Arabidopsis thaliana: one gene and its partners. The protein of the gene in region 1 purifies or fractionates together with the protein of each later gene. This does not show direct contact. Each region holds a gene or a part of one and is shown in the gene's direction. Other genes may lie near its edges. The genes, in order: AT3G02860, IMD2 and IMD3.

What was found.
Region 2: the proteins of AT3G02860 (region 1) and IMD2 fractionate together in Arabidopsis thaliana (co-fractionation; one large-scale study listed by BioGRID). This does not show direct contact.
Region 3: the proteins of AT3G02860 (region 1) and IMD3 fractionate together in Arabidopsis thaliana (co-fractionation; one large-scale study listed by BioGRID). This does not show direct contact.

What each region holds. Positions count from the first base shown.
Region 1 is NC_003074.8:622,098-631,807, reverse strand, and holds AT3G02860 (zinc ion binding protein), read left to right. Parts: upstream 1-4,440; 5' UTR 4,441-4,650; coding exon 4,651-4,739; intron 4,740-4,874; coding exon 4,875-4,974; intron 4,975-5,173; coding exon 5,174-5,333; intron 5,334-5,526; coding exon 5,527-5,809; intron 5,810-6,003; coding exon 6,004-6,079; intron 6,080-6,173; coding exon 6,174-6,220; intron 6,221-6,322; coding exon 6,323-6,509; 3' UTR 6,510-6,645; downstream 6,646-9,710. Other genes in the region: VTC4 (Inositol monophosphatase family protein), read left to right, coding at 2,126-2,138, 2,222-2,277, 2,363-2,413, 2,538-2,618, 2,703-2,806, 2,904-2,988, 3,130-3,184, 3,318-3,361 and 4 more; SKOR (STELAR K+ outward rectifier), read left to right, coding at 8,335-8,573, 9,156-9,380, 9,464-9,527, 9,595-9,710. UniProt on the Arabidopsis thaliana protein: Essential for breaking seed dormancy before seed germination. Prevents reactive oxygen species (ROS) accumulation in response to abscisic acid (ABA) and oxidative stress, probably by repressing the accumulation of ABA-induced ROS-scavenging enzymes (e.g.
Region 2 is NC_003070.9:30,282,758-30,292,692, forward strand, and holds IMD2 (isopropylmalate dehydrogenase 2), read left to right. Parts: upstream 1-5,005; 5' UTR 5,006-5,075; coding exon 5,076-5,292; intron 5,293-5,491; coding exon 5,492-5,621; intron 5,622-5,730; coding exon 5,731-5,842; intron 5,843-5,920; coding exon 5,921-5,996; intron 5,997-6,086; coding exon 6,087-6,175; intron 6,176-6,267; coding exon 6,268-6,354; intron 6,355-6,444; coding exon 6,445-6,561; intron 6,562-6,651; coding exon 6,652-6,759; intron 6,760-6,840; coding exon 6,841-6,894; intron 6,895-7,000; coding exon 7,001-7,153; intron 7,154-7,294; coding exon 7,295-7,369; 3' UTR 7,370-7,542; downstream 7,543-9,935. Other genes in the region: AT1G80540 (envelope glycoprotein B), read right to left, coding at 7-65, 164-454, 537-724, 1,102-1,241, 1,354-1,501; AT1G80550 (Pentatricopeptide repeat (PPR) superfamily protein), read right to left, coding at 2,601-3,947; AT1G80555 (Isocitrate/isopropylmalate dehydrogenase family protein), read left to right, coding at 4,249-4,459, 4,532-4,661, 4,736-4,982; AT1G80570 (RNI-like superfamily protein), read left to right, coding at 7,904-7,934, 8,063-9,474. UniProt on the Arabidopsis thaliana protein: Involved in leucine biosynthesis; catalyzes the oxidative decarboxylation step in leucine biosynthesis (primary metabolism). Catalyzes the oxidation of 3-carboxy-2-hydroxy-4-methylpentanoate (3-isopropylmalate, 3-IPM) to 3-carboxy-4-methyl-2-oxopentanoate.
Region 3 is NC_003070.9:11,139,006-11,148,793, reverse strand, and holds IMD3 (isopropylmalate dehydrogenase 3), read left to right. Parts: upstream 1-4,076; 5' UTR 4,077-4,131; coding exon 4,132-4,526; intron 4,527-4,595; coding exon 4,596-4,707; intron 4,708-4,778; coding exon 4,779-4,943; intron 4,944-5,017; coding exon 5,018-5,104; intron 5,105-5,183; coding exon 5,184-5,300; intron 5,301-5,396; coding exon 5,397-5,504; intron 5,505-5,588; coding exon 5,589-5,795; intron 5,796-5,882; coding exon 5,883-5,951; 3' UTR 5,952-6,333; downstream 6,334-9,788. Other genes in the region: PP2-A9 (phloem protein 2-A9), read left to right, coding at 1,476-1,871; IMPL1 (myo-inositol monophosphatase like 1), read right to left, coding at 1,994-2,092, 2,183-2,284, 2,371-2,583, 2,676-2,728, 2,794-2,851, 2,952-3,040, 3,139-3,272, 3,383-3,450 and 1 more; AT1G31175 (cytochrome C oxidase biogenesis Cmc1-like protein), read right to left, coding at 7,889-8,245.

The sequences.
Region 1 (9,710 bases):
AATGTGAAATTCATAATTTATGGTTGTAATGTGAAGAAAATAATGAAATACCAAAGATAAAATATGAAAATGATACAATGTAGTATATTTACGGTATAAAAGGAATATTTACTTGAAATGAATTAGTACGTTTAATACACGATTTTACCATTTATGTTAATGAAAATTAACACTTTTAAAATAAAACATGGCATGAATTAGAGTTGTGAGAATCACATGTAGGCCTTTAAGGTTCTTAAATTTTTAATTCCTTATAACATAGGCCCATGTATTTGATTGACATATAGGCCATTGGGTTCTTCGACTTTTAAATTACTTATAACAAAGGCCCACCTATTTGAAGCGCATTGTTAAACATTTTGTTTATATTTTGATTATGATCGAAAATTCTCTAGAACAATTCGTACAAAAGAAGCTGTTTACGAAAGTAGCTGTACATGCGAACATAATCAATAAAAATGTAAATGACTAATGAAACATCAGAATATCCGTACAAAATTGTGACTTTATATTATTTAGTTATAGGTACAAAGTTGTGGAGAGTAAAAAAATAAAAAAGGTAAAAAGTTGTGGAATAGACCTATGAAACAATCACAAACATACAACCAAAATGCAAATTGTAATTACGCAACAGAGGCTTTCTTTTCAAGGAAGTCAAGTGTAAGATTTGCAAATGCCCCAATTATTATTTGAGAGAAAAAGGGATATTGCTAATCACAATTAACGGTCACATTACAATTCCCTTTTTTCTCTGTTATTTCCTCTTCTTTCACAATTAAGTTCTTAACGGTCACATAAATATTTTGTTTTTTATATAATGAGTTTAATTAAGTTGAAGAATCAACTGATAAGGTTGATGATCCGATCCTCAAAAGTATACTAACCACAACACTGTCTACGTTCATGTTAGTACCTACTTCAAAGTCCATGTACGTTGGGACTGGCTGTATCTTCCGCCGAGAGCAGCAGAGAGCGTCATCGCTGTCTTGGAACGAGAGAAAGGTCGAGACTATCTCTAAGGCAACCAAAAGCTTAGCTATGATGAAGACATCTTTCTCTCTCTCTTTGCCTATGAATGGAGAATACAACAAATAATATAAAGTGATGGACATTTCTATGCTTTGCTTCTCTTCTCCAAAGAGAAATAGATGAAAAAGATTGTTGATTTTCGTTTCTCTCGAAGAAGAAGAAAGAAGAAGAAGGTGAATAGAGACTTTTGATTTCTCAAGAATGAACAAGTAGATTGTAGAGTGTTAGTGTTTAGTTCTGTTCTTAGGTTGCAGAGATTGTGTATGTGTGGCGTTTGATGTCTCGTGTTGGAGAGGTGGTCTCGTTTAGAGTGTTAGTGTTTAGTTCTGTTCTTCTGTTGATCTGTGTTTTTTTTAAATGTAAATTACACAAGTATGCAAAACAAATCTCTTCTCAGAAAGGGGCTACTGTTATATCATGAGATTTATAAGACAAAATGTAAAATATCGGAAAAATAAAACAACATAATTTTGGTGTTGAATGAGTTTTTCTTGTCCACACAACGGCAGAAGCAGTAGACGATTGTTCCTTTGTCTCTTGATCACAAACCGATTTCAAAGTGTTCTTCGCATTTTTCTCATCAATGTAAGTGAACCAGCCAGAGAAAGACAAGTATGCACCAATATCATTCCGGCCCCATATTCAGAATAAATTAGAACATCTTTTTCCTTCCGTGTTATGCACTTGTTCTAAAAAAAAAGAATTCCGGCCCATATTCAGAATAAGGAGTCCAGTCCAATAGTCTCAAGTCCAAACCCGACTCGGGTCTGTCCGACCCGGAAAAGAGAACTGATTACAGAATGCGGGTTTTGTCAAGAGAAAGTTGGATGATAAAATTGAGGTGAAATCTAATCTTCAAATGATCATTGGTTAGCTTTTTGTATAACGGATTTTCTGAAATCCTCTTATTTCCCATATCGGACCGTGATTATTGGGTGATTTCGGATGCCTAATTGGGTAATTAATATAATACAGTATAAGATTAGATGCCTCGAATATTCGCTCTGTGCCTAACCACAAAAACCGTAACTTTTGGTTTTCTCTGAAACACATCCCAAAGTAAAGAAAGCATCACTCTTTTCGTCTTCTCTCGAAAATGGCGGACAATGGTAAAGTCACGATCAATCTCTGCAAACCTTATTTGATTTCCCTGTTTCCTCATTTTCTTTCGGGCGACATTGATTTGACGCAGATTCTCTAGATCAGTTTTTGGCTGCCGCCATTGATGCCGCTAAAAAAGCTGGACAGGTCTATCTTTCGATCTCCTTGAGTTTTGATCGATATTTTGGCTAATCGTTATTTAATCTGGCTCCTTTTGGTTTGCGTTCTGCAGATCATTCGTAAAGGGTTTTACGAGACTAAACATGTTGAACACAAAGGCCAGGTTTTTGTTTCTTTCCTCCGCTCAGATAATGTTTCAATCACTCAATAAGTGGGAATGGCTACTTAAGAGTGTCAATTTTTTTTTTGAAATTATCTTCTATGGCTCCTTAAATTGTTGCTTTTAGGTGGATTTGGTGACAGAGACTGATAAAGGATGTGAAGAACTTGTGTTTAATCATCTCAAGCAGCTCTTTCCCAATCACAAGGTGGTGATTATTTCTTCTTTTGAATTCCCATTTTGTTGGCTTCTTCCTCGCGTTGATCATTAGAGTTTTGCTATAATTTATTAGTTCATAGGAGAAGAAACTACAGCTGCATTTGGTGTGACAGAACTAACTGACGAACCAACTTGGATTGTTGATCCTCTTGATGGAACAACCAATTTCGTTCACGGGTATTATCATTATTGATCAATTCCCATTTGAATGACCTGTGTGTTTCATTTGCCCATTTCATCAAAAACAAAAACAAATGCTGTTTTTTTTTTGTAGGTTCCCTTTCGTGTGTGTTTCCATTGGACTTACGATTGGAAAAGTCCCTGTTGTTGGAGTTGTTTATAATCCTATTATGGAAGAGGTAAAAGATTGTGTATTCCATTGTTTCAAGTTTCTTCGATCGTTACAACTTACCATTATACATAGTTTCCTTGATGGTGCTCTGTACATGCATGTTTCAAGATTTTTCTCAATTCTTACATAATATCTAATGATCAAACAGCTATTCACCGGTGTCCAAGGGAAAGGAGCATTCTTGAATGGAAAGCGAATCAAAGGTTAGCACTTGTTCTAGAGACCTAATAAAAAATTTCTTGATCTCTTTTTATGGCATCCGGAGTATAGCTATCACTTGTTCAGAGACTTGAGTTCTCTTCCTTCTTTTCAACTCAAACAATGTTCTTTTTGCAGTGTCAGCTCAAAGCGAACTTTTAACCGCTTTGCTCGTGACAGAGGTAAAAATCTGGCTCCTTTGTGTTAGACTACTAAAACTAGATTGCTATGAAGCCTCCTCTCATCGCTAATGTGACCAATTGAATATAGGCGGGTACTAAACGAGATAAAGCTACATTAGACGATACAACCAACAGAATCAACAGTTTGCTAACCAAGGTAAAAGTTTATCGATAGATATTTGGAACTCCACCAATTTGGTTCTAGTCTCTGCCAAAACTCATGATTGTTGTGTCCTTCATTCATCAGGTCAGGTCCCTTAGGATGAGTGGTTCGTGTGCACTGGACCTCTGTGGCGTTGCGTGTGGAAGGGTTGATATCTTCTACGAGCTCGGTTTCGGTGGTCCATGGTAAATTGTCTTCTTTTTTTTTTCCTTGCTTGGATTAAAAAAGGGGATTTCTTTCTTGTACAAACAAAATTAGATCCTGATGATGGCATAATAATATCAAATCTTTCACAGGGACATTGCAGCAGGAATTGTTATCGTGAAAGAAGCTGGTGGACTCATCTTTGATCCGTAAGAGTTTGAGATTAAACCAAACACACTCACTCTCAAACCGTCCAACTGATTATAACTAACTGTTTTATGTCGTCTTTGTTCATCAGATCCGGTAAAGATTTGGACATAACATCGCAGAGGATCGCGGCTTCAAACGCTTCTCTCAAGGAGTTATTCGCTGAGGCGTTGCGGCTTACAGGGGCATGAAGTCATCTGTTATTATTTTACAATATGGTCTCAACCTTATATGATCAAACTCAATTCAAAAACTTAACATTATTGAATATTTCTTTTCGGTAGAAAGAAAACAAACTCAATTGTTGAGAAAAAAAAAAAACTATTTTCTTTCTGCTACCCTTTGTGAATTCAATTAAAAAAAAATCATATGTTTGGTATTGAATGATATAATTCTGTTCTTCCATGTAGTTGATCTTTGTAATCGAGTTTGCATTTTTTTTTTTTTTATAAAAGGTGGAGTTTAAGGTATTTTGTGATCCATACTAAATTAACAACAGAGGAAAATGGGGATAATGAGTCCGGCCCAGTTACGACTAACGACCCAGAAGCATCCCGAAAGTCTCAAGTCTAATCCCGAGTTGGATCGACCCGACCCGTAAAAGAGAAGAGATTGCGGAGAAGAACGGAGGGAGGAATTTTGATTCTCACGGTGACTGTTGTCCTCCTCTAAGGACTTAGGGTTTGATTTGAATAGAACAAATTTCTCAGATCTTCGTATTCCTTGCGAGGTTGTGATAATTTGGGAGTTGCGTGGGTTGCTACGAAGGAGAGTGATGGATGCTCAAGCGAAGAAGAAGGCCATGTTCCGGTCTAAACTCAACGCCAAGAAGAAAGACACCCGCATAGATTCTCCTCTCGTTAGGTAAACCGTTGTTAGCTTCTTCTTCTCTTCGTTTCGATGTCACTTCTGGGTTTCTACAATTCCAAATATTTGTGGGTTCTGGGGATTGGGCTTGAGCTGTAGTTGGGATGAAGAGTTTGTTCTTTGGATTTGTAGGTACAACGAATCAGACCAGCCTGTGTGTCGAGTTTGCAATGTCGTCTTGAAATCTGAATCACTCTGGGATGTACATCAAGCTTCTCGTAAGCACCACGAGGTAAACTTAGTGTCTTCTGCTCCATAAGCTTTACTTCACAATCTCTTATAACCTGAGTAACAACAATGGGATATTTGATAAATTACATACATTGAAGATAGGTAGATTTCATGCTCTTATATGATTTTATGCGTTAGATTCTCTGTTTTATGTTCTTTAATCTTATTAACTTAGCTTTCGTAATGTAACGTTTGGACAGGCCATTGATAGTCTCAAGGCTAGTGCAGCGGGAGTCCAACGGGGTAGCAAACCTGCTGAAACTCGGCCAACGAAAATTGAAGCTTTGGCTAAATCATCCAATTCTCAGACATCATCTGGTCTTCCGCCAAATTTCTTCGAAAATCGTGAGCCTGCTAGAGGTAATGACTAATGCACTTTCCTCTTCTTGTTCTTATCTTTTTCGAATAATTTTCTTAGTAGAAGGCTTTTGGTTTAGGTGCTAGTTATGTGGATGCCATGCTTAAAGGCTCTAGTCTTAGGTTTTTTGAAAGATTGATGATAGTTTCATTCGTCAATCGAAAAAAAAAACTTATTGATCAAATATATGTGCAGCAGAAGTAGAACCAGCAAAATCCAAGAATTTAGAGCAATCAAAGCACACTATAGGATCTGAAACAAATAAGTCAAAGGGACCTCTTCCAGCCGGATTCTTTGATAATCAGAAAACTGATTCTTCAAATACCAAAACCACCAGTGAACCTAAACAGAGTCAGACACAGACCACTGGTCCAGAAACAAAACCAATGGTGAATGGAAACCTTCCAACCGGTTTTTTTGATAATAAAGAAGCTGACCTGCTTGCCCATGGAATCAAGCTCGTCAAACCAGATATCAAGTGAGTTTCTTCTCTTTTTTTTTTTGTTGCTTTTACTTTTCCAGATGCAGAAAATCAAAGTGAAACCTCATTGTTGTGGACCTTGTGATCCAGTTACTTTCCTACATTCTCAATTTGAATGGTTCATATGATCTTATGGGTTTGTACCTAAGAATTCTCTTCGTGAACTTATATAAACATGGATCTTCTTACAGGGATGAATATAAAGAATTTGAGAAGTTGATACAAGATGATTTGCAGGTAGTGGATAGCCGCATGGAAGAAGAAGAGGTCAGATAACTTTCTGTCACTATGATAAATTGCTGACAGTATCATAAGCTCTTTCTTAAACTTAAAATCGCTTTTCTCGCACTCTAATTGTCAGGTTGATGCTGCGGAAACTATAGAAGAGGAGGAACAACGAGAGCAAAGGTAATTTGATTCATTACTTTGTTATAGCAAGAAGATGGAAATGTTGAGACTTGTTTAAGATTAAGTAAACACTTGGCTTCTCCTTTTAATCTTATTCTGCAGATCATACAAAGAGAAAGTAGAGATTCTGAAGAGGAAGAAAATGGAACTTAAAGCGGCAAGATTAGCGAAGCGCAGTAAAACCTCTGAGGGGTCTGTTAAAAAGCCGAAGAAGACAGAAGAAGAATCGCCCAGCGATGAGGAGGATGACGAGGATTCTGCTGTTGATTGGAGAGCTCAACATCTTTGAATAAACTAGAAAAGACTGTTTAAAAATCTGTACCCTGGTAAAACATACAATGTTCTATGAGAATATACAGTGAAAACTAATCAATCTCATATATATACAATTATCAGTTTCAGAGGATCAATTGGTATTTGAGGTATAGTTATCGGTTAATGGGTATAATTCAAGAACGTAATTTTCATAACCAGAGTTGCCAAAAAGGCCGAAATATCTGGGGATGAAACCTGAAACTGTGGCAGTTCCGACCAGTTTCAGGTGATAAACTAAAAAAAAAAAAGTGATTATGACTGGTGGTCGTATCATTCTAGTTTTGAGTGAGAATGTTTCAGATATTGATCATTTGGTGGCACAAAACATAATGACGAAAGTGGTAAATTTAACAATCATCTTTAAAGTTAAAACTCTTATTATTGTTAAACAAATACATGTGGAATAATAAATAATTGAGACAATTCCAGAAACCAATTAGGGGTCAAATATGTCGAGAAACTAATTAGGGGTCAAGTATTGAAGAAGGAAGAAGACCACTAACTAAACATATTCATATTTTTTTGTGAATTTTTGGACTATTTGTGATTACCAACCATATGCTTATATAACTTATAAAAAAAATGCATTAGGCTTTCCACTATAAACCATTGACATTTGAAATATTTAAATCAAGATATATGCATAACCAAAAAAAAAAGGGTTATGTTATCTTGTTTATAACTTGAAAAGGAGTCCACAAAACAAAGAGAGAGAGAACAGCCAAAGCAAAGGTCGGTTAATGCACAATCGATGATATAACAAATATCCCATTAGAACATAAAATTAGTTAACTAATTACTTCTGACCTAACTGAATGCACTCAATCTCCTATAATACCTTAACATTATCTAGCTTGACTAATCATATAAATTGTCACGTGAATTTTCTAATGGTAAAGTGTTTCACAACGGGAATCAAAGTTTAGGGACATTTCAGTTTAGAGTCTATCCATCATAACACTTGTATCCCAACTTGGTTTTTCCAAATTTGTTTTAGATAAAATACCATTTTTCGAATTCATCGTCTTCATGTGAATTTTAGGAAAAAAAGAGTGACAAAACACACACACGCACACACACATCGGCTTCGACCTACATAACCAAACGATATCTTGTAAAATACCACACACAATCACAAGTGTTTAATCTTATGATCTCTAATCTCTTATGCATGTTTAAACGTGATAAAGGAGAAATCGTTTAGCATTAGAAAGAAAGAAACATTTACGAATAAAATGATCGAAAAAGTGACTTCCTCGAACTTTATCACATCACGATACCTTATCACATGTACGTAACACGTAATGACTTATTGTTTATCTTGTGGTTATAAAAGACTCTCTTATCATTTATATGGTGCTCTTCATAGGTCATTCTAAAAATAAACCCATATCTCACTGGTTCACCTTATTTTTTAAAACATATTATTATTCTTTTACACTACGTTATCTTTTATTATGACCATAAAAATATTAATATAGCATGGGCTTTTTGAATCACAATTTGAACTTTTAATGTAAAAAATAAACAACAGCACTAACAAAAAAAAACCGAAAATTTGTGTATAAATTTCGCCGATTCCATGGTGTTGTTCATCGAATTAACTTGAGTTGCTATTTTTTTCTCTATCTGATAAGTTTCGAAATTTGAAAACACAGGCGCCAATTTTAGGCATATAACTGAAAATCACAAAAAGGAAATAAGAGAGAAAGAGAGAGAAAGAGAAAGAGAGAGAAAAACAGAGAGGTTGTCTTCTTCGTCAAATATCCGATTATCTGGTATCGTGATTCGGAGGTGTAATGGGAGGTAGTAGCGGCGGCGGAGTTTCTTATCGTAGCGGCGGCGAATCAGACGTGGAATTAGAGGATTACGAGGTTGATGATTTCAGAGATGGGATTGTAGAATCGCGAGGAAACAGATTCAATCCTCTCACCAATTTCTTAGGGTTAGACTTCGCCGGCGGTAGCGGTGGAAAGTTCACCGTCATTAATGGAATCAGAGATATCTCCAGAGGCTCCATTGTTCATCCCGATAACCGGTACACCATAAATTCTCGTCACGCTTTTGAATTTTGTTTTCTGAGTCCTTTAACTTTTAATAGTTTCATAAGTAGGCCTTATGTTTTATTTTGTATTATTCTAGTCCACTTACTTTGTTATATGGATTTTAGGGTAGGTATTGATTAATTTCTTTTTTTCTTTATACTGAGACTAAATCTTATAGAAATCAATCTTCCTATATATTTTGAAGCTACGTACTACTTTTATTAGAGAAATTTTGAAGGAAATTTGTTAGCTTAACAACTTTCGGGGTCAATTGTAGTGCAAACAAAAACATTAGGGGCTTGATTGTGGATTTAACCTTCCTTTTTAGTGTAATAACATTTTCTTCGGTTATTCATTCATTTCCCGCCACTTTATGACACGTATCAGTTTCTCAATGGTTACAAATGATCGTTGGTTAAAAATGTAACAACCATGAGTCTGTACACGTCAGACCAGATTAAAGAAGAAAACTCTGTTTCGCTGAAGTTTGGAGCAATAATAGAAGTAGACTAAGTAGTGAGTTTAGTTTAGCTACTAAATACTCTGTCCGGATCTAAAGATTCTTGAATTTGCAGGTGGTACAAGGCGTGGACGATGTTTATATTGATATGGGCACTTTATTCTTCCTTCTTCACTCCATTGGAATTCGGATTCTTCAGGGGATTACCAGAGAATCTGTTCATCCTCGATATCGCTGGCCAAATCGCTTTCTTAGTAGATATTGTCTTGACATTCTTCGTTGCTTATCGTGATAGCCGAACTTATAGAATGATCTATAAACGCAGCTCAATTGCTTTACGGTATTCAAACTCTACTCTGTTTCTGTTTTCTTGCTATCTACTCAATGAGATTAACCTCTTCATGGTGTTTGTCAATTTTGTAGGTACTTAAAATCAACTTTTATAATTGACTTACTTGCTTGCATGCCATGGGATATCATCTACAAGGTATACACTTTTTACTCTTTTGATTTTGCGGGAAACGGAGAATTTGAAACTGTGAATTTGAAAACAGGCTGCAGGCGAAAAAGAAGAAGTGAGATACCTATTGTTGATAAGGCTATATCGAGTTCATAGAGTAATCCTGTTTTTCCACAAAATGGAGAAAGATATAAGAATCAATTACCTTTT
Region 2 (9,935 bases), on another chromosome or scaffold:
ACTTACAAAGGCCGAGGAATGCGACTGCGAGCATTACACCAGCGATCACATTTAACACATATCTCCTGAGGAAAACGCATTTGAGTCAAATACTCAAACAGAGCTTCTATATATATTTAGCTTGTGAGGCAAGAAACATATCAAGCGAATACTTATTACTTACACAGGGTTTAGTGCTCCGGTGAGATAACGGATTGTCTGGTTAGCGACACGGTCGGGGTAAGTGATGTTAGACATCTTGATCATGTTGTTGAAATGATCGATGTTGCCTCTAAACTCGGGAGGAAACAGGTTGTGTCCATCGAGCTGAATGTCTTTAGCAGATTGAATCGAGTCCCATAAGCTCGTTAGCTTAGTCAAAACTCCAGTTGCTTGTTTCACAATGTACATAAACGTCCTCTCCACGCTACCGTAGAACTCGTTTTGCCCCGTGTACAGCATTGCAGACCCAATCCTGAAGATAAACGACATCGCGTCACAAATTAGTAATCTTATAAGATTATTTGAAGTTCTTAAGTAATTTAATGATGGGTTACACGGCGGCTATGGTGAAGAGGAGGAGGAAGACGAGAGAAAGAGTGTAGCAGACGCGAGAGTAGCCGTAGTTGCGGCGGCCACAGCCACAACAGCAACAACAGAGGCATGAGCAGATGAGAAAGAGTCCGAGCAATACGAACCACGCGATTGCTATTACTATGAATGGAACTGCAGAAAATCCAACGGACTGAAAAAGACAAAACAATAACCATTACGATTTTCGAAATTTTGCTACAAAGAACATCACATTTATTTTTTTTTTATTTTAAAATCACGTTTTTCTGTAGTTTAATTTTCGCCCTTAACTAAATCAATTGCTACATTATCTACCCCAAAGCATCATACTACTACTAATTAGTTTACTCTGGTTTAATTGTCTAAACGTCCACTTAAGTGTAATCGTTTCCAAAATAAATACAATTCTATATCTTTGTTGTGGTCAGATAATGTTTTACCCAAAAACTGATTTAATCGTCTAAATGCCTCAAGAAAATATAGGTTTGACGGAAAGAATTTATTTTTGACATTTAGAATATTGAAATCAATTAAAAAAGACAGACTCACGGCGATGTAATGAGAGTTGGTAACGTTCCAACCATCGACATAAATATTGAAATGGTTGAGAGGGTCAGGTCGCTGTGTCCTCTCCGCCGCTAACACCAATCTGGTCCCATTCCCTCCTTCCAAAATTTGCCTCCTCACTCCTAAAATCATTTTCTTAAATTTTTATCAGAAGCCATTTTTTAATCAAATTTGTATAATTGTATCCAAAAGAAAAAAGGGGTTTCTCTGGTTTAAAAGAAACAAAACTTTTACCTTGAAATGAGGTAGAGGATGGACGATGATGACAAGAAGACGAAACTGCATGAGAAAAAGAAACCAAACTCGACGTGATCAGAAGCCCAACGGTGATCAGGAGGAGACGCCGGCGACTATGATATGACGGCGTTTCGCTATTAACCATTATTCTCCCTATTTTTCTTGTCTAATTCTCTCTCTTTTTTTGTTTTTTTGGGGGAGGTTTGGTTTCTAATTTCTGAAACTCTAAAAAAGGGTTTATCAATCAAACGTATGAATAAGAATCTTTTACTTCTTCAGGAAATCAAGGACAAAGAAGATGAAACGAAACTGTTCCCTTTATTTAGATTTTCACCATCCATTGTTGTTATTCTGTTTTGTTTTAAGTTTTCACCTCATTTTCTTAGTTTTTAAAATCCTTAATTAATTACTCTTTTAACTCTTATTGGCTGTGTGACCTAAAACTTAAATTAATGAATCACATTTTTTTCTATAAAACCGATTATACAATAAAATTGAAATGAAATTGGTAAAAATACTTTATACTCAGGGTCGACTCGGAGATTAGAAAAAGAAACGGAGAATGGCATTAATTACCACCAATACTGACATGAGAGCTACTCTAATTTTGTAACGGAAAATTGCATTTATGATCATCTGGTACCAACTTTTCCTGCTTTTGCTCTGTCATGGCATTTTCTAAAGAAAAATGTTGTAACTAAGATTTTTTTTAGAAAATTGTTACGTCATGTCTGCATAATCTTTACAAAAGTAAGCTAAGATTAAAAGTCGTATTCTTTAGTTGAATTTTTTTCAAATTACAATAATAACGCCATATTCTCCAATGGTTTTAAGAATGTGATCCATGATGGATCATCCATCGTTTCTGTAGGGTGTTTTATTGAGCTTAACGATCTTACAAAATAGCCACAAAATGCCTGTGGTTGTCACAGAGTGGAACAACAACAAAAAAAAATTAAGTTAGAGAGTGAATTACAAATGGTACGTATATGTAGTAGAACACATATAGGAGGCGACAAACCATCTTTCAAAACCAAATCTTCGGAATTTGGCTTAAGACACACAACTCAACCAGATTTCTCAATGAACCTCAGTGTTTTCTCCTCGGTTTTGAGTTGAAACAAAGCCACTTTATGGCAAAGATGATATACCTTGGGGAGATTTCTCCATCCAAAAGGACGCTTCTCTATTGCTTCATGTCTGTTTTGAACACATAACCAAAGAGTTTCTTCATATCTAGTTATCTATTCTCTACAGACAAGCGTTTCGTCCAAGGACTTTTCTACCAACTCAGGCCTTCTCCTTGGAGATAGCCCTCTTTCGATCATTTCCTCCTCATATTCCCTAGCCATATCCAACATTCCTTTCTGAATCAACGCATCAATCACAGCATTATACGCCGCTGAATCAGGAGTATCCCCAGACTCTTTCATTGTCTTCCACACATATAATACCGGCTGAAGAAATCCCCATCTCTCAAACTTCCTCATTAGCATCACATAAGTATCCATCTTTGGCCTCACTCCACTCCTTATCATCCTACCAAACAGACTTAGGATCTCACTCGGTTTCTCCAAACGGGAAAAGAGACACATGTAAGTAATCGAATCGGGTTGACAACCTCTCTTAGGCATCTCATCAAGCATCCGATACGCGTCTCTCATCCTCCCGTCTTCACATAGAAGCTTAATGATTGTGTTATGAGTCGCAACATTAGGTTCACAACCTCTTTCCCTCATCTCCCGAAATACCCTGATACCGAATTCAACACCTTGCGACGCTCCAATGGCTCGAATCACAGTGTTATAAGCAACCACATCGAGTTTCATCCTTCTACTCTTCATTTCCTTATACAACTTCACAGCTTTCCACGGTTTCCCGCTCTTGCACATGATATCCATGTAAATGGAATACGAAAAAAGATCCTTAGTAACACCTTCAGTATCCATCTTCTTCCAATACTCCTTGCATTTACCCCACCATCCCAATTTCGACCACCCACGAAGAATCAGATTATGAATCTTAGTATTACTCACACTAAAACCATTACCAATGACATTCTTCCCAAAACAAAGCTCTTCAGCTTCAACCACATGTTTATGCTCGCAAAGCGCATCGACCAGATTATAAAATGATGTTTCATCTCTCAAATTGAAATCATCCAATTTATCATACGCATCAATAGCCTCCTGAACAAGATGAGCCGTCACATAACGCTTAAAGACTATACGAAACGTGACGTGATTCGGCACAGATTCCGTGTTTCCGATCATGCGGTTAATCAAAGCCCAAGAAATTTCAAACTCGAAATACTTACCCAGAATATCGATCACCCGATTGAATGTCTCGGTGGTATGTCTGAATCCGGATTCTCTCTCGACCCAGTTGAAAAACTCCAACGCCTTTTGCCAATCGTTGCTGTAACATGTGAGAGCTTCGCATACTGTTTTCTGATCGTAACTGGACTGATCTTCTTCTTCCTGAGATCGAAACTTCGCATCATCGACATTTGAAATAGGTTTTACTGACAGAAGCCGAACGGAGTAAGGGGAAGCAATCCGAACTCGATTGAGTCGCCGCAACAAGAGCATTCTCTTGTTTCCCCTCTCCGCTCCCTGTACACACGAAATTAGGGTTCATCATCTAACGGGCGAATTTTGACCCGAATACCCATTTTAAAATCTGACCCGAATACCATTTATGGGCCCAAAGCCCGCTGGACTTGTGTTAATATTTGGAACATTTGGGCCGATCTATCTTCTACGAATCTTTCTTAGGCCCATCATAATTGAGCCATCCAGAGGTGAAAATAAATAATCGAACGGTTAATATTGGTTTGATTATAAACACAAAAGTTCTTTCCAGGTCTCCTTGTAGTCTTTGTTGTAGTAAATGGCGGGAGTCATCCACGTCAGCAGTACCCAGATTCCGGTTGCGTTTATGTCCGCAACCAAACAGAGCTTTAGGAGAGCTTCTGTGATCAGATGTGCCGCCAACACTCCAAAGAAACGGTACACCATCGCGGTTCTTCCCGGCGATGGCGTCGGTAACGAAGTGATCCCAGTCGCTGTTGACGTTCTTTGTTTAGCTGGGTCTCTTGAAGGTTCCTTCTTTCTCATCCTGTTGCCTAATTTAATTTGATTTTCCCAACTGAAATCGTGTTTTTGGATATCAGGGATAGATTTTAGCTTCGAGGAGTTGCCTATAGGAGGTGTTGCTTTAGATCTTGTCGGAGTTCCACTGCCTAAGGAAACATTGATCAGGGCAAAGCAATCAGACGCTCTTCTTCTCGGAGCTGTTGGATGGTATGGTATTATTACCATAACTTTCGTTCATCTCAAGTTTGGATTCATCTAAAGTTTGGATTTTTGAATTGAAGGCCGAAATGGGATAACAATCCCAAGCATTTGAAGCCGATAACGGCCTTGTTGCAGCTTCGTGCGGCTCTTCAAGTATTTGATGAGCCCTCCTTCTTCTGTGAGGTGCTGCTAATAAATGGATATATATATATATATATATATATATATATATATGTTGTATGTGGTAATGTAAGGTGTCCATTTACAAAATTAAAAACTTTGGGGTCAATTCTGAAAATAAAACAATGTGCAAAAAAGGACCCATAAATGCAAAGAAGTAAAGTCTGAGTGTACTAGTAGTATCCATTTGACTTGCGGTTTCAAAATCCGAAAAAGACCAATCAATCCTTTCTCCCTGAAATGGCGGCGGCTCTGCAGACGAATATCCGGACGGTCAAGGTTCCGGCTACGTTCAGAGCTGTAAGTAAACAGTCATTGGCACCCTTTAGAGTAAGATGTGCTGTTGCTTCCCCTGGTAAAAAACGATACACCATCACTCTCCTTCCCGGAGACGGCATCGGTCCGGAGGTTGTCTCCATTGCCAAAAATGTGCTTCAGCAAGCTGGATCTTTGGAAGGTTCTCTCTCTCTCTCTTGTTCCCTTTCTTATTTAATTTAGTTGCTGTTTCATTTCAATTGGGGACTACTGTTTTCTGCTTGGAATTGAAAGATGTGAGCATTAGAAATTGGCGAGATTTTGAATGGGATTTACAATCGTGGGTTGGGCTCAAAGGCCACGGAGATTGCCTAATACATTGCGTCTGTGCTCTGTATCAGGAGTGGAATTTAACTTCCGTGAGATGCCCATTGGAGGAGCTGCTTTGGATTTGGTCGGAGTGCCCTTGCCGGAGGAGACTATCTCAGCTGCAAAAGAATCAGATGCAGTGCTTCTTGGAGCCATTGGAGGGTCTGTCTTCTCTCTTTTCCCACTAATCTTGTTGGCTCTTAATTATTGTTTTGGGAAATACAGTTTCTCATTTAGTCATTTTCTCATGTTGGTATAATAATAACTTAAGGTACAAATGGGATAACAATGAAAAACATCTGAGGCCTGAGAAGGGGTTACTTCAGATTCGTGCAGCTCTCAAAGTCTTTGCAAATCTGAGACCTGCTACAGTCCTCCCACAGGTGACCATCCTCAGAGATTTCTTGGTTGCCTGAACTTTGTTTCTTGTGTGAAACTCTAATTTTGTTGTTTTTATACAGTTAGTGGATGCTTCCACCTTAAAGAGAGAGGTAGCAGAAGGTGTTGATCTAATGGTTGTAAGGGAGCTTACAGGAGGTCAGTTTTATTACTTATTAAAAATTGATCGTAATTCTTGTCTTTCTCGTGTGACAATATCTTATAAAATGTCATGTCTCATGGTAACAGGTATTTACTTTGGAGAGCCAAGGGGCATAAAGACCAATGAAAATGGCGAGGAAGTTGGGTTTAATACTGAGGTTTATGCTGCTCACGAGGTACTCTATTGAAAATCTCAGATGCAGATTTCCGTGGACTGATTGTTAAGTACTAGGGTCAAATCTAATAAAGCATTTTGTATGTTCGTCAGATTGATAGAATTGCTCGTGTTGCCTTCGAGACTGCTCGGAAACGGCGTGGCAAGCTGTGTTCTGTTGACAAAGCTAATGTTTTGGAAGTGCGGTTGATAATTATGTTTTCTTTGACTTGTTTTCCTCTCTCTTGTTTCCTGTGGAACGAACATAACACTGAATTTTTTTATATGCAGGCCTCAATCTTATGGAGGAAACGAGTAACAGCATTAGCCTCTGAATATCCTGATGTTGAGCTGTCACATATGTATGTTGACAATGCCGCGATGCAGCTTGTTCGTGACCCAAAACAGGTACGTGTACTTTGTATTTGCCAAACTAGTCAGCTTTGATGTGCGACAGGTGTAAATCCTTGCAATTATTTGATTGTTTGATAAATGCAGTTTGACACCATCGTCACAAACAACATTTTTGGTGATATATTATCCGATGAAGCTTCAATGATCACAGGAAGCATAGGAATGCTGCCATCTGCTAGTCTCAGTGATTCGGTATGATATAAAATAATATGATCTTTTAGTATGCAAGCAGTATGATCTAGTCTGAACATAAACCCGCCATGTGTAATACAGGGACCTGGACTCTTTGAACCTATACATGGTTCTGCACCTGATATTGCTGGACAGGTTCTAACTCTATCCTTCAAACAAACACGGTTTTTGTTCCCTGATATCAAAACTAGTTTAATGCCAAAATCAAAGAGCACAACTTGTTGATTCTTTGAATTTTCAGGATAAGGCAAACCCATTGGCAACCATTCTAAGCGCTGCAATGCTTCTGAAATACGGACTTGGAGAAGAAAAGGCAGCCAAGAGAATTGAAGACGCAGTGTTGGTTGCTCTGAACAACGGATTCAGAACTGGAGACATATACTCCGCGGGAACAGTATGTTTCTTGAACCACTCTTATAACATGTTTCCTTTTCCTTAAAAACGTCCCGAGTTAGTGTTTGAGAAACGTTTAAACAAGCAGGCAACAACAAACAGTAGTAATATTTTTTTGTCTTTTTGTATGGGGTATGATCAGAAACTGGTGGGCTGCAAGGAGATGGGAGAGGAGGTTCTGAAGTCAGTGGACTCCCAAGTTCCAGCTTCTGTTTAATATTTGTAGAAACTTTGAAGAGTTCATTTCCAACAACAAATGTTGTACCTTGTACTCAAAGAGTCTCGGTTTTATTAGCGATTTTTATAATGTGAGATTATTAGAGGGACTTATTTGATCGAACTGAAACGTTGATGTTTTTTTCTGAGAAATAAATATCCTTGTGGAGATAATGACGTGTCAGAGTATCACTCAAAAAGCCAAAAATTAGAGAGACAAAAAAGATTCAATCTCCCCCGTAGTCCTTATCCGGCGCCGAGTGTGGTCAAACGTCGCAAGAGTTTTCGCTCTTTCCGGTGAGATCTTTTTCCTCTGATTTCTGTTTCATGGCAAGCCTACTTTTAGAGCTGAGTTTAATCGATGAATCAAGGATGTGAATTTTTGTTATTTCTTGATTATTCATTATTATGTTCAAGAAATCTAAATCTCTGCTTGGGAACTAATTCACAATTTAGACATCTCTGATGAGTTTTTCCTCTGTTTTTTATTTCTATCTTATCAATTTTGTTTCTGGAAATTTTCATGGCTTTTTGAATGTTCATTGGGATTGCGTATCTTGGTGGTGGTAAGTAAAAAGTCAAACGCCTTCGTTTTTCTGCATAATCTCTGAGTTCCATCAAAGCTCTGTTTTGTGTTTTCAAGGTGGACTTTTCACTTGACATGTTAGGCTTTGATCCTTTTTTGTTCACACAGATAGACAAATGGATGAATTGCCAGACCATTTGGTTTGGGACATTCTCAGTAAGCTTCATACTACCGATGACAGAAACTCGCTTTCACTCTCATGCAAACGTTTCTTCTCGCTGGACAACGAGCAAAGATACTCTCTGCGGATTGGTTGCGGTTTAGTTCCTGCATCCGATGCATTGCTTTCTCTCTGCAGGAGGTTTCCAAATCTTTCCAAAGTGGAGATTATATACTCAGGCTGGATGTCAAAACTTGGCAAACAAGTTGACGATCAAGGCCTTCTTGTCCTGACCACAAACTGTCATTCTCTCACTGATCTCACTCTGAGCTTCTGCACCTTCATCACCGATGTTGGCATAGGCCATTTGTCGTCGTGTCCAGAGCTTTCTTCGTTGAAGTTAAATTTCGCTCCCAGGATCACTGGTTGTGGTGTGTTGTCACTTGCTGTAGGATGCAAGAAACTCAGGAGACTTCATCTCATTCGATGCCTAAACGTTGCAAGTGTAGAGTGGTTGGAGTATTTCGGAAAGCTTGAGACTTTAGAAGAACTCTGTATCAAGAACTGCAGAGCCATTGGGGAAGGTGATTTGATCAAGCTGAGGAATAGCTGGCGAAAGCTGACAAGTCTGCAGTTTGAGGTAGATGCCAATTACAGGTACATGAAGGTTTACGACCAGTTAGATGTGGAACGGTGGCCCAAACAGTTGGTTCCCTGTGACAGTCTGGTGGAGCTCAGCCTCGGTAACTGCATCATAGCTCCTGGTAGAGGGCTCGCTTGTGTGCTGAGAAATTGCAAGAACCTGGAGAAGCTTCATCTGGACATGTGTACCGGTGTCAGCGACTCAGACATCATAGCATTGGTTCAGAAAGCTAGTCACCTAAGAAGCATCTCGCTCCGTGTCCCGTCCGATTTTACTCTGCCTCTCTTAAACAACATCACGTTAAGATTAACCGATGAAAGCCTCAGCGCCATAGCTCAACACTGCTCAAAGCTCGAATCTTTCAAGATATCTTTCTCAGACGGTGAATTCCCTTCCCTCTTCTCTTTCACACTCCAGGGGATAATCACTCTGATCCAGAAATGCCCAGTACGCGAGCTTTCTCTTGACCATGTGTGTGTATTCAACGACATGGGGATGGAGGCTCTATGTTCAGCTCAGAAACTTGAGATCTTAGAGCTTGTCCATTGCCAAGAAGTGAGCGATGAGGGGTTGATTCTGGTGAGCCAGTTTCCTTCTCTCAATGTGTTGAAGTTATCAAAATGTCTGGGAGTGACAGACGATGGAATGAGACCACTTGTTGGATCTCACAAGTTGGAGTTGCTTGTTGTTGAAGATTGTCCTCAGGTTTCAAGAAGAGGTGTTCATGGTGCTGCAACGTCTGTCTCGTTTAAGCAAGATTTGTCATGGATGTATTGAGATCGTATGATTTGCTTCCTATGTACAATTTTACTCATGTGTAAGTAAGTGTAAATGTTCGATCTTTGGGACAGAAAAATTACTAATGCCTCAGTGATGATCAAGTTTAAAATGACGTCATAGCAGTTGTATATAAACAGTCATGGATGATGTAATGTTGTTACTCTTTAATTTAATGGTGCGTTTTATAAATATAGCGTCATAATAATTAATTGACTGATGTCTTTCTAATCCATGAGCTAATCTTATCAAGTCGTCATTCTAAAGATTTTTAAATATTGATATTGCCACGTCAAAACGCAAGTAGTAGTACTTGTTTGATCAGTTAGAGTTCAACTGGGCTGACATTTTTAGATCTTGTGTCGGTAATATATAACTTTCACCATCTTTCTTAATACCAAACGTATTTTGTTCTATAGAAATTTCTGTCAAATGTTATGATTGTCTGTCTACTAAAACCA
Region 3 (9,788 bases), on another chromosome or scaffold:
TCCAACTTGATCTCTTGGTCGGCAAAACGACAACCTACAGTGTCTAATTCCTCTACCGCAGCAGAATACAGAGCTCTAACCTATGCAGCACGAGAAATTACTTGGATCTCTTTCTTACTGCGAGATCTCGGCATTCCCCAATATCTTCCTACACAAGTTTACTGTGATAACCTCTCCGCAGTGTACCTATCTGCAAATCCGGCTCTCCACAATCGTTCAAAACATTTTGATACCGATTATCACTACATCAGGGAGCAGGTCGCACTCGGTCTGATCGAAACACAACACATTTCAGCTACCTTTCAATTAGCTGACGTGTTTACAAAGTCACTTCCACGCCGAGCATTTGTTGATCTCAGGAGCAAACTTGGTGTGTCTGGTTCACCCACTCCAAGTTTGAGGGGGAGTGTGAGCAACAAACAAGTAACCGGCCCAACAACAACAAAAGGCCCATCTCAGCCCAGTCAAATAGAAGAAGACAAAATAGACTCCAGCTCAAAACAGAGCAACGATCGTACAGAGGAGGGGCGTTTTGCCTGATGACTCACCATAGCCAGCTACACAGCATCTGCCATATTCTAGACTGTTCCATATCTAGCTCCTTCTACAATGTCTATAAAAGAGTAGTGTAAAACCCTAATGTAATTATTGAGAAAGAAACGATTTTTTTACCAAAAGCTTGAAACTTTCTCTAATCGTTTCAGCAATGAGTGAATAATGAGATTATTATAAAAGAGATACAACTTGAGTAAATGAGTAAAATGATTATGAGTCCAAAAGAAAATGGAAAAAAGAGAAGGAAAGAATAAGCTTGGCACTTGAAGAAAATTTATGTCATTTAATTGCTCTGTTTGATTCTCAGATTCTTTATTCACATTAAGACCAACAAGTTGTGGATATATGCTTTCCCTCTCGTTGGCCGTTGAAGCATTTTTATTAACTTTGTCCCTCCAACGAAAGAAAAGTCAGGATTTTGTGTAAATTACTTATTTTTCCTTCTTCTGTCACAATCTTACTTTGAATTTTTGACATGAGAAAATAAATACTCTACATAAAGCTCATTTCGAGAGATATGGTTTTGTTATTTCTCTACTGTAAAAAAGGCAAATCAAGAAATGTCTTCACAAAAGAGTTCGCATCATAAGGCAGACTCCAAAATGGAACAAGATGTGAGTTTCTTTTCTTTGCTATTGAAGATAATTTGCAACATCTTTTTAAATGAAATCACCAAACTTTGATTAAAAATGTTTTATCTTGCTTTTGTATTTTCCTTGTTAAATTCTGCAGAACAATAGAAAAGCATGGATTTCACAACCGAGTGGTCTTAACTTTGTTTGGGGAGGTGACTCGAGATATTGGGTTATCCCTAAAGAACCAAGGTATCATCCGATTCATTCCGACTTAACCGATAAACCCAACTTTGGTTTACTGATACCAAAAATCTTAAACTGATTCATTTGATTGTTGGTTTTAGGATGCCTGCTGAGCTGAAGATGGTGAGTTGGTTAGAAGTAACCGGTTCATTCGACAAGATTGAACCCGGGAAAACATATCGAATCGGTTTTAAAATCTCGTTTAAACCGGATGCGACCGGTTGGGACAAAGCCCCTGTTTTCATGTCTGCTAAAATCGGGAAGAAAGGCAAGACAGTGTGGAAAAGAATCAAATCCGTTAGCCAGAACTTTGGTATACTGAAAGGTGGATCAGAACCCGTCAATATACCTGACGAGTCCGATGGCCTGTTTGAAATCTTGGTTAGTCCCACAGCGCTTAACCAAGATACTAAGCTTCAGTTTGGTCTGTATGAGGTGTGGACTGGACGATGGAAGACAGGTCTGTTGATCCACGAAGCCTTTGTTCAAGAAGTGTAAGGGGGAATATGATCATTATTGATTTTCATAATCCGAACGCAAATCTTATACCTCGTTTCAGTTCAAATATAAGAGCTTTAGATCATAACAATGTAATCTTATATACCTTTCTTGAACAAGTCTTAAAGCTCTGTATGATAATCTTCCGGTTTGAACCATAACGAGAAATCGATTCCTTTCGACTTCAAATTCTCAGTTGCGGGTGCAATTCTTTCCAGAAGCTACACCGATTAAACAAAAAATATGTGAGACCTGATCTCTAAGCACAACAGATTAAAAGCATTGATAAAAGTATGAACAGTTCATGAAACCTTGGGGTGAAGAACGCCGTTGGAGACCAAAACAGACCTATCAAACACAGAAAACTTCCCTCCGTCCATCCGAGTCACAGCTCCTCCAGCTTCCTCAACTATCTGTGTCCATTTTCTGACATGGATTAAGCTCTACAACTTAAGTACTTTAGTAAGAAAAAAACAACAAGAAGGATGAAGAAGACTACAAGAACACCAGCAGCCATGTCCCATGGCTTTAAACGGTACTCCCAATATGATTCCGCAATCCCAAGTGCAACATGACACATGTCAACTGCAGCAGCACCGAGTCTTCGCACTCCCCGACTCACATCAGTAAACTCTTTGAACAGTTCCATGTTAGTGCTCCATGCATCATCATGTTCATAACCAAACCCTGTGATAAGAAGTGCTCTCTCCACCTTCATTCAAACCCGAATAAATATCTAATAAACCAAAACCATTGAACACACCATGTCGAAACTTAAAATTGGATTCTTGATAAGTTACTTACAGCATCGGTCTTACTGACATGAATTTTTTGCCCGTTACACAATGCTCCACCACCTAAGAAGTGAACTAGTTAGACAAAATTTAGATATATAGCCAAACATAAGCTTGTCACATAGTACCTGCAGTTGCAGAAAAGGTTCGAGTGTTCCAGCACATCGGACCACCGACAAACTCTACCTGCATGATGAGATTTTGTTGTTAATCCTACTGACCAAAGAATCAGCAAATAGGAACTAACAAGCATTAGCTGGTTTGTGCAAGTATATATTGGATTTACCACAGAAGCAGCGGCGGGATTTCCACGATACAGAACACCGACGGAAACAGCAAAACTGGGATATCCATGAGCAAAATTTGTAGTTCCATCTATGCATAAAGGAATTAAGAGACTAATACTAAAAATCTCAGAGATTCCACACAAACACATGAAAAGAAAGCAATGAGATTTGTAAAGAGAGCTAAACCTAGAGGATCAATGCACCAGAGGTAATCAGAAGACGAATCGCCGATGATACCTCCTTCTTCACCAAGAATAAGATGATCACTAAAATTCTTCTTCACTACTTCCAAAATAGCAGCCTCGCTTGCTTTATCAGTACTGCAAATTCATCAAAAGTACTAAAACTTTAATAGCTTCAACCAATCAAGTCAACATGAACATAGTTAAAACCTCAAGCTAACAATTTTAAAAGGTGAAGAAGTCCTTACTCAGTTACTAAGTCACTGAGACCTTTATAAGTAATATTCCTTGGCTTATTTACAGCTTCCATAACCACCTAACAAACCAGATGATTCAATTCAAGTTAGTTTTGTTATTATTCTCCTTGTGCAGTTGTGCCCTACGAACCCAAGAACTTGATTCTAGTACCATTGAACACAATTTCAAGTCTCATCAAGAGTTTTTGTTTCCAATAAACATAAATTCAGATATTGTATTCTACAGACATGAAATTTCGAACCTCAGCGCCGGTTTTAGCGGCGAGTTCAACGACTTCAAGGAGGTGTGCCGGAGATATAGTTCCGGTGGTTTTAGCGCCGATTCTGGGATATCGCGTCTGATCAGAAACCTCAGACAGAACAGCTTTGGTTTGAAGTCTCGTTGTGGACTTGAAGCTATTAGACAAAATCCTCGTACACCGATATCGGAAAGTTCTGTTCACTGTCCGGCCTGAAATTGGGTTTTGCAGCGGAAGAGATGATCTGGGTAAGTGAGAGATTCTCAATGACATGTTTCCAGAGAATATTAGAGACCTTCCCATTGTTGGTGTCGCCGGAGAATTTTCGAATTTTTGTTGTTGTTCGGTTTTTGGTTTATATGAACGCGGCCAAGTGAACGGATGGTGGACATGAGAGAGTCCAAAAAGCTGATAGAACTTAAAATTGAAATTAATGAGAACATTGAACCAAAATCAGGTTAACAAATAACCAGAGATAACCGGTCTCTGTAGTATACTCAAATGGTTAGTTTTTGCCGATGGTGGTGCCCTAAACTCGAAAAAAAGATGGCGGCGTTTTTGCAAACTAACATCCGTCTGGAGATCATACCGGGAAGATACAGTTCTCTCACCGATCATAAGTTTCGTGCGCCGTATCGAATTAGGTGCGCCGCCGCTTCACCGGTGAAAAAACGGTATAACATCACTCTGCTTCCCGGCGATGGTATCGGTCCAGAAGTTATATCTGTTGCTAAGAATGTGCTTCAGAAAGCTGGATTTCTCCAAGGACTAGAGTTTGATTTCCAGGAGATGCCTTTCGGCGGAGCAGCTTTGGATTTGGTCGGAGTTCCATTGCCGGAGGAAACTTCCACTGCTGCTAAACAGTCTGATGCCATTCTTCTTGGAGCTATCGGAGGGTATGTGTAATGCGTGTGTGTGTTGTTTCTTCAGCAAATTTATTCTCTTTATGATGATTTTTTGTTCAGGTACAAATGGGACAAGAATGAGAAACATCTGAGACCTGAGATGGGTCTGCTTAACATTCGAAGAGATCTCAATGTCTTTGCTAATTTGAGACCTGCTACAGTTTTACCACAGGTATTGATTTGCTTATCACTTTGCTTTCTAGTTGTAAATATACTCAAATTTTTCTGTTTTTGCTTGTTCAGCTAGTTGATGCTTCCACACTGAAGAAAGAAGTAGCACAAGGTGTTGATATGATGATTGTAAGGGAGCTCACTGGAGGTATTTACTTTGGAGAGCCAAGAGGCATTACGATCAACGAAAATGGCGAAGAAGTCGGTTTTAATACAGAGATCTACGCTGCTCACGAGGTACTACTTACTCTTCACAATCTGCTGCTCTGTGACAATGTATGTGTATTAATGCATTGCTTTATCTTCTTCAGATTGACAGAATTGCTCGTGTTGCATTCGAGACTGCTAGGAAAAGGCGTGGCAAGCTGTGTTCTGTTGACAAAGCCAATGTCTTGGATGTATGTTTTGAATTGTTTTTCCACTCCACTCTTGTGTGTTTTTCGTTATACAATTATTTTTTTGTTTTGTTTCGTATAGGCATCAATATTGTGGAGGAAAAGAGTAACAGCTTTAGCCTCTGAATATCCAGATGTTGAACTATCACATATGTATGTCGATAATGCTGCGATGCAGCTTGTCCGTGACCCGAAACAGGTGATCTTCGCGCATATATAAAGCTTAGCCGTTGATTAAGCTAACACAGAAGTGGAACTTGTAGTACTCACGGCATTTTTAAAAACATTATTGCAGTTTGACACAATCGTCACCAATAACATTTTTGGTGATATATTGTCTGATGAAGCTTCAATGATCACTGGTAGCATTGGGATGCTTCCATCTGCAAGTCTTGGTGAATCGGTAAGTAAGACTAAATCTAATATTTCAAGGTTCCTCTGTTTATTATTATCATATATTGATTGTTAAACTTGTGATGAAAACTAGGGACCTGGACTCTTTGAACCTATACATGGTTCAGCACCAGATATAGCTGGACAAGACAAGGCAAACCCATTGGCCACCATTCTCAGTGCGGCGATGCTTCTCAAGTATGGACTTGGAGAAGAAAAGGCTGCAAAGATGATTGAAGACGCGGTCGTGGATGCTCTGAACAAAGGTTTCAGAACCGGAGACATCTACTCCCCCGGAAATGTATGTGTATGATGATTTCTGTCTTTTGTTTTGTATAAGTTAATGACAATATACTTAAAGAAGTCTTTTTGTGTTTTGAAAATGCAGAAACTGGTGGGATGCAAGGAAATGGGTGAGGAGGTTCTCAAATCAGTGGACTCCAAAGTTCCTGTTTAAGAAAAGTGTGTAGCCCTTGGTTTTACTGTTACTTTTTTGCTAATACATGTATTAGAAACTGTATTCTTGTAGCTTTTATAATAATAAAATATTTGGGATCGATTCTGCAATTCAAAGACAAAATTCTCCAAGAACATTTGACAAGTCTCCTGCCTCAGTACCTTGTTCTTGAAGATTGAGAAGTTCTCGCCAACTACAAAACTCAACATCTTCTTCAATCAATATTTGTTAAACGAATAAAGTTTCAAGAGAGACAAGAAACTATGTTTTTTAGCCGCTAGAGTATTACATTTTTCTACTGAAAAACCAAACTTATAAAACATAACATTTATAAATCCGAAAACAACTATCAATCATCAGGTTAGCCTTTGGATTCACGACGACTTATCAGATTTGCGTTCAGCGTCTGCGGCAGACTGCATTTGAGCTGCATATGGTAAGTTCCAGAGAACATCTTTAAAGGAAGTCTTGCAGAAGGTTCAAGCAAAACACATTTATTGGCGATTGAGATGGCAATTGGGTAAAGACTCCTGCGAGCTTGTTGTTAGGACCGTTGGACTTCCTATTTTCTGTCGACAGTCTTGGCTCCCAAATGACGTCTGCAAATACAACATTGCAGCAACAGCTATTAACAATGATGAAGATTTGCTTCTTTTCTTTACCCTATATGATACCATTTCGTTGAGAAGATAGGCCTCTCCTTTTTGTAGTAGGTACTGGTCCTATCAGAGATTCCAGAAGTATGAATCCAAAGTTGTACACATCGCCCTCTGTTTTAGCCATTTTCCTGCATAATTCCAAAGCTAAGAAACGTGATGAATCGAAATCGTCTGTGGCTTCCTTTAACTCTTCAAAAGAAAATGACCGGAATGAGGGCACACCTTGTGCACCTAGCTTTGCTGCTTGAGAGATTAACCCTGCAAGACGAAGTCGTACAAGGATATTAAATTCCTGAAAGACAATTGCCACCAGGCGGAGGTCTACAATTTGAGTCAAAGTTACTCACTTGCACTAGCAAGAACTTCGGAGGAGAGACTGGTGTGTGAGTTATCTCTGTCACAACCTTAAGCCGAGTTTGAGGCACTGACCTTTCTCTTGAACAACAGCAAGAGCAGCGGTTTATACACACAAGAACAAATACATCTCCACCAAGGACAGCAACCAAAATCCCAATCTTTCTTCCTTGGAACTGTTTTCCCTCAGTTTCAGCCTCTTCGATTACGAATTCTTGATGCTGATCATGACTGCCAATAATGGAAAAGAAACGGGGAGGGGTCCCAATTAATCTGTTATTCGACAAATCCAAGTTTGCCTCCACAGGTCAGATTATGCTGTAGCTTCCCACTGAGCTTGTTAGATGCAAAGTCTAAGTAACTAATGTTTGGCAAAGAGAACAAGAACCGAGATGAAGTTCCAGTCAGATGATTGAACGTCAAGTCAAGATGCTGAAGCTGAGACAAACAACCAAAACTTCTGGTAGTAACCAATAGACCTGAGGCTGTTGATTGATCACACTCGAAACCTCATTGAATCTAACATCTTACACAAAAACAGAAACAGCCTTATTTCTGAATCCAACAACAGCTGCCAAAACTTGAAAGTAGCTAACAAAAGGAAATGATTCCACCACAATGGCTCCTGCTTCAGTTCAGAGCAGCTTATAGAAATCTGAATAACGGATTCTTGATTACACAATTCATTATACCAAAACCATATAAAGGATTACTACAGATTCAACAAAAATTCACAACCTTCCTTAAATCATTCTTCTGCCATTTGATGATGAACATATTCAAATTCCCAGAAATATCCATCCTTACTATCTCCAACAGATGCAGAAAAAAGAATCAGAATTTTAAAACCCTAATTTTACCAATTACGTAGCTCACAAGATCCAAAATAACCTTTCGCCGACAACAACAACAAAACCACCGTATCTAACGCTGCTCAAACTCTCGCTGATGGCGAGAGAGACAGAGAGAAAGTGAAAGCTGAGCGTATTCGCACTGTTTACGCTTAAGGCTTGTTCCGCCGCTAGAGCAAAGAGACCTCACCGCCTCTGATTCCTCCGGACAAGCCTCCGCCACCACGCACTCCGCAAACGCCTTGTTCAAATGTCTGCAACCGGATCTCCTTGCCGGTCCTTCCGGCATCCGACGGTGGCACTGCAACAACGCTTCCTCCAACCGATCGCAAGATTTCATCGGAATCTCTCTGATTTTTCCGGTGTGAATCCGTCTCATCTCACGATGTAACTCACTAGTTGGGTTTGGGCTTTTGTTTTGTAAGCCCATATTTATCTCTTTGTTAATAGAGTCAAACCCACTTTTTTAACACACATTATATCATTATATAAAAACAAAATAATTAAACAAATTCAAAATATCAAATTAAATTTATTAAAAAATTAATGCTAAATTTAAAATTGAATATGTTATAAATACTGGAAATTTTGAACAAAAAATTCAACTAGCAAAATATACATAAATGAGCAAAACATAAGAAAAATATATGCAAAACATAAGAAATAATGACAACCGGTAGAAAATGTAGTTTAAAATTTGAGACACTAAAATTAAAAGAGATGATTCTTAATTTCCAATTAAAAAAAATAAAAATAAGTGATTTGCTTAGACAATGATGTTATTTGATCTGATATTGTCTGCGTAGAATGTTTTCTTTACAATAACAAATTCAGAGTGACGCTTACAATACAACTTGATGCTACAATCTTTAGTGTTTTGGTTTTATACAAACTAGTAGCAGTATTTACAGAGGTCTCATTTCTCATGTCCTCGTCTCTGAAGGCAACCAACCAGAAATCACGACATATAGATAAGTAAATTAAAAGTAAGGTAACTATTTTCCTAATACATTTTTTGTTTTTGTTTTTTACGTCATGTATTATTTTATCTATTTGACACATGTCCGGTTCTATCACTTACTCAAAAGTCGAAACTCTTTTGAGAGAGCTAGTTCTCTGTTTTTTAATCCGTTTATATTTATTTTTATTCTACTAATTCAAGAGAATCCATCTAATTATTCAAGAGAACTCCCGTTGAAAATGTTCTAAAGAATTAAACTTCCAAATCTGGCCCAAGTCGTGAGTTGACTAAAACCGATTTCTCACATATATGAAGATTTCGTACATAGTCATTTTCTCGTGAAACAAAATAATCGTTGGAAAAATGTCCTCCCATCAGTAAAATACCACTATTCTTTTTATTTTTACTTTTTAATTGTTAGTTTAAGTCAAATTAATTACATGTGGTGGTTCGACGATTTAGTCAACCAGAGAAAAAAGTATGTTTGTGACTTTTTGATCTTTGCCAATGTCTTAACCGAAGTGGTTATATGTGACTACTTTGCAATTGGCTAGACCAACTATTTTTTTACTTCATGAGTTATGATTAGTTTTTACTTTTTAAATAAATAATTAAGTTCTATAATAATATATTCACTTTCGAAAATTTATTATTTGTCATTAATCATGGCTTTGTTTAGATATTATAGTTCTCATACATCTGTAATTGTACAATGTTATATTAAAATGTGAATATATTTAGAAAAAAAGATTCAAACGTTACAAAGCAAGTTAATACCAAAACATAGCTCAAACCAATTTCATTTTGCATATACTGCAAGTAGGTCCGTGCAATTGTTTCCATTAATTGATACATCAATATTAAAATGGTGATTATAAATCCTATAATTAATTATTATGAATTGTGATATCTATCTCCAGCACCATATTTGTTACAGATTCCAAGGGTCTTAATTTGGTTTGTATCTTTGATCTGATACCCCATTGTATTGACCATTTGGCGAATGTTCTTA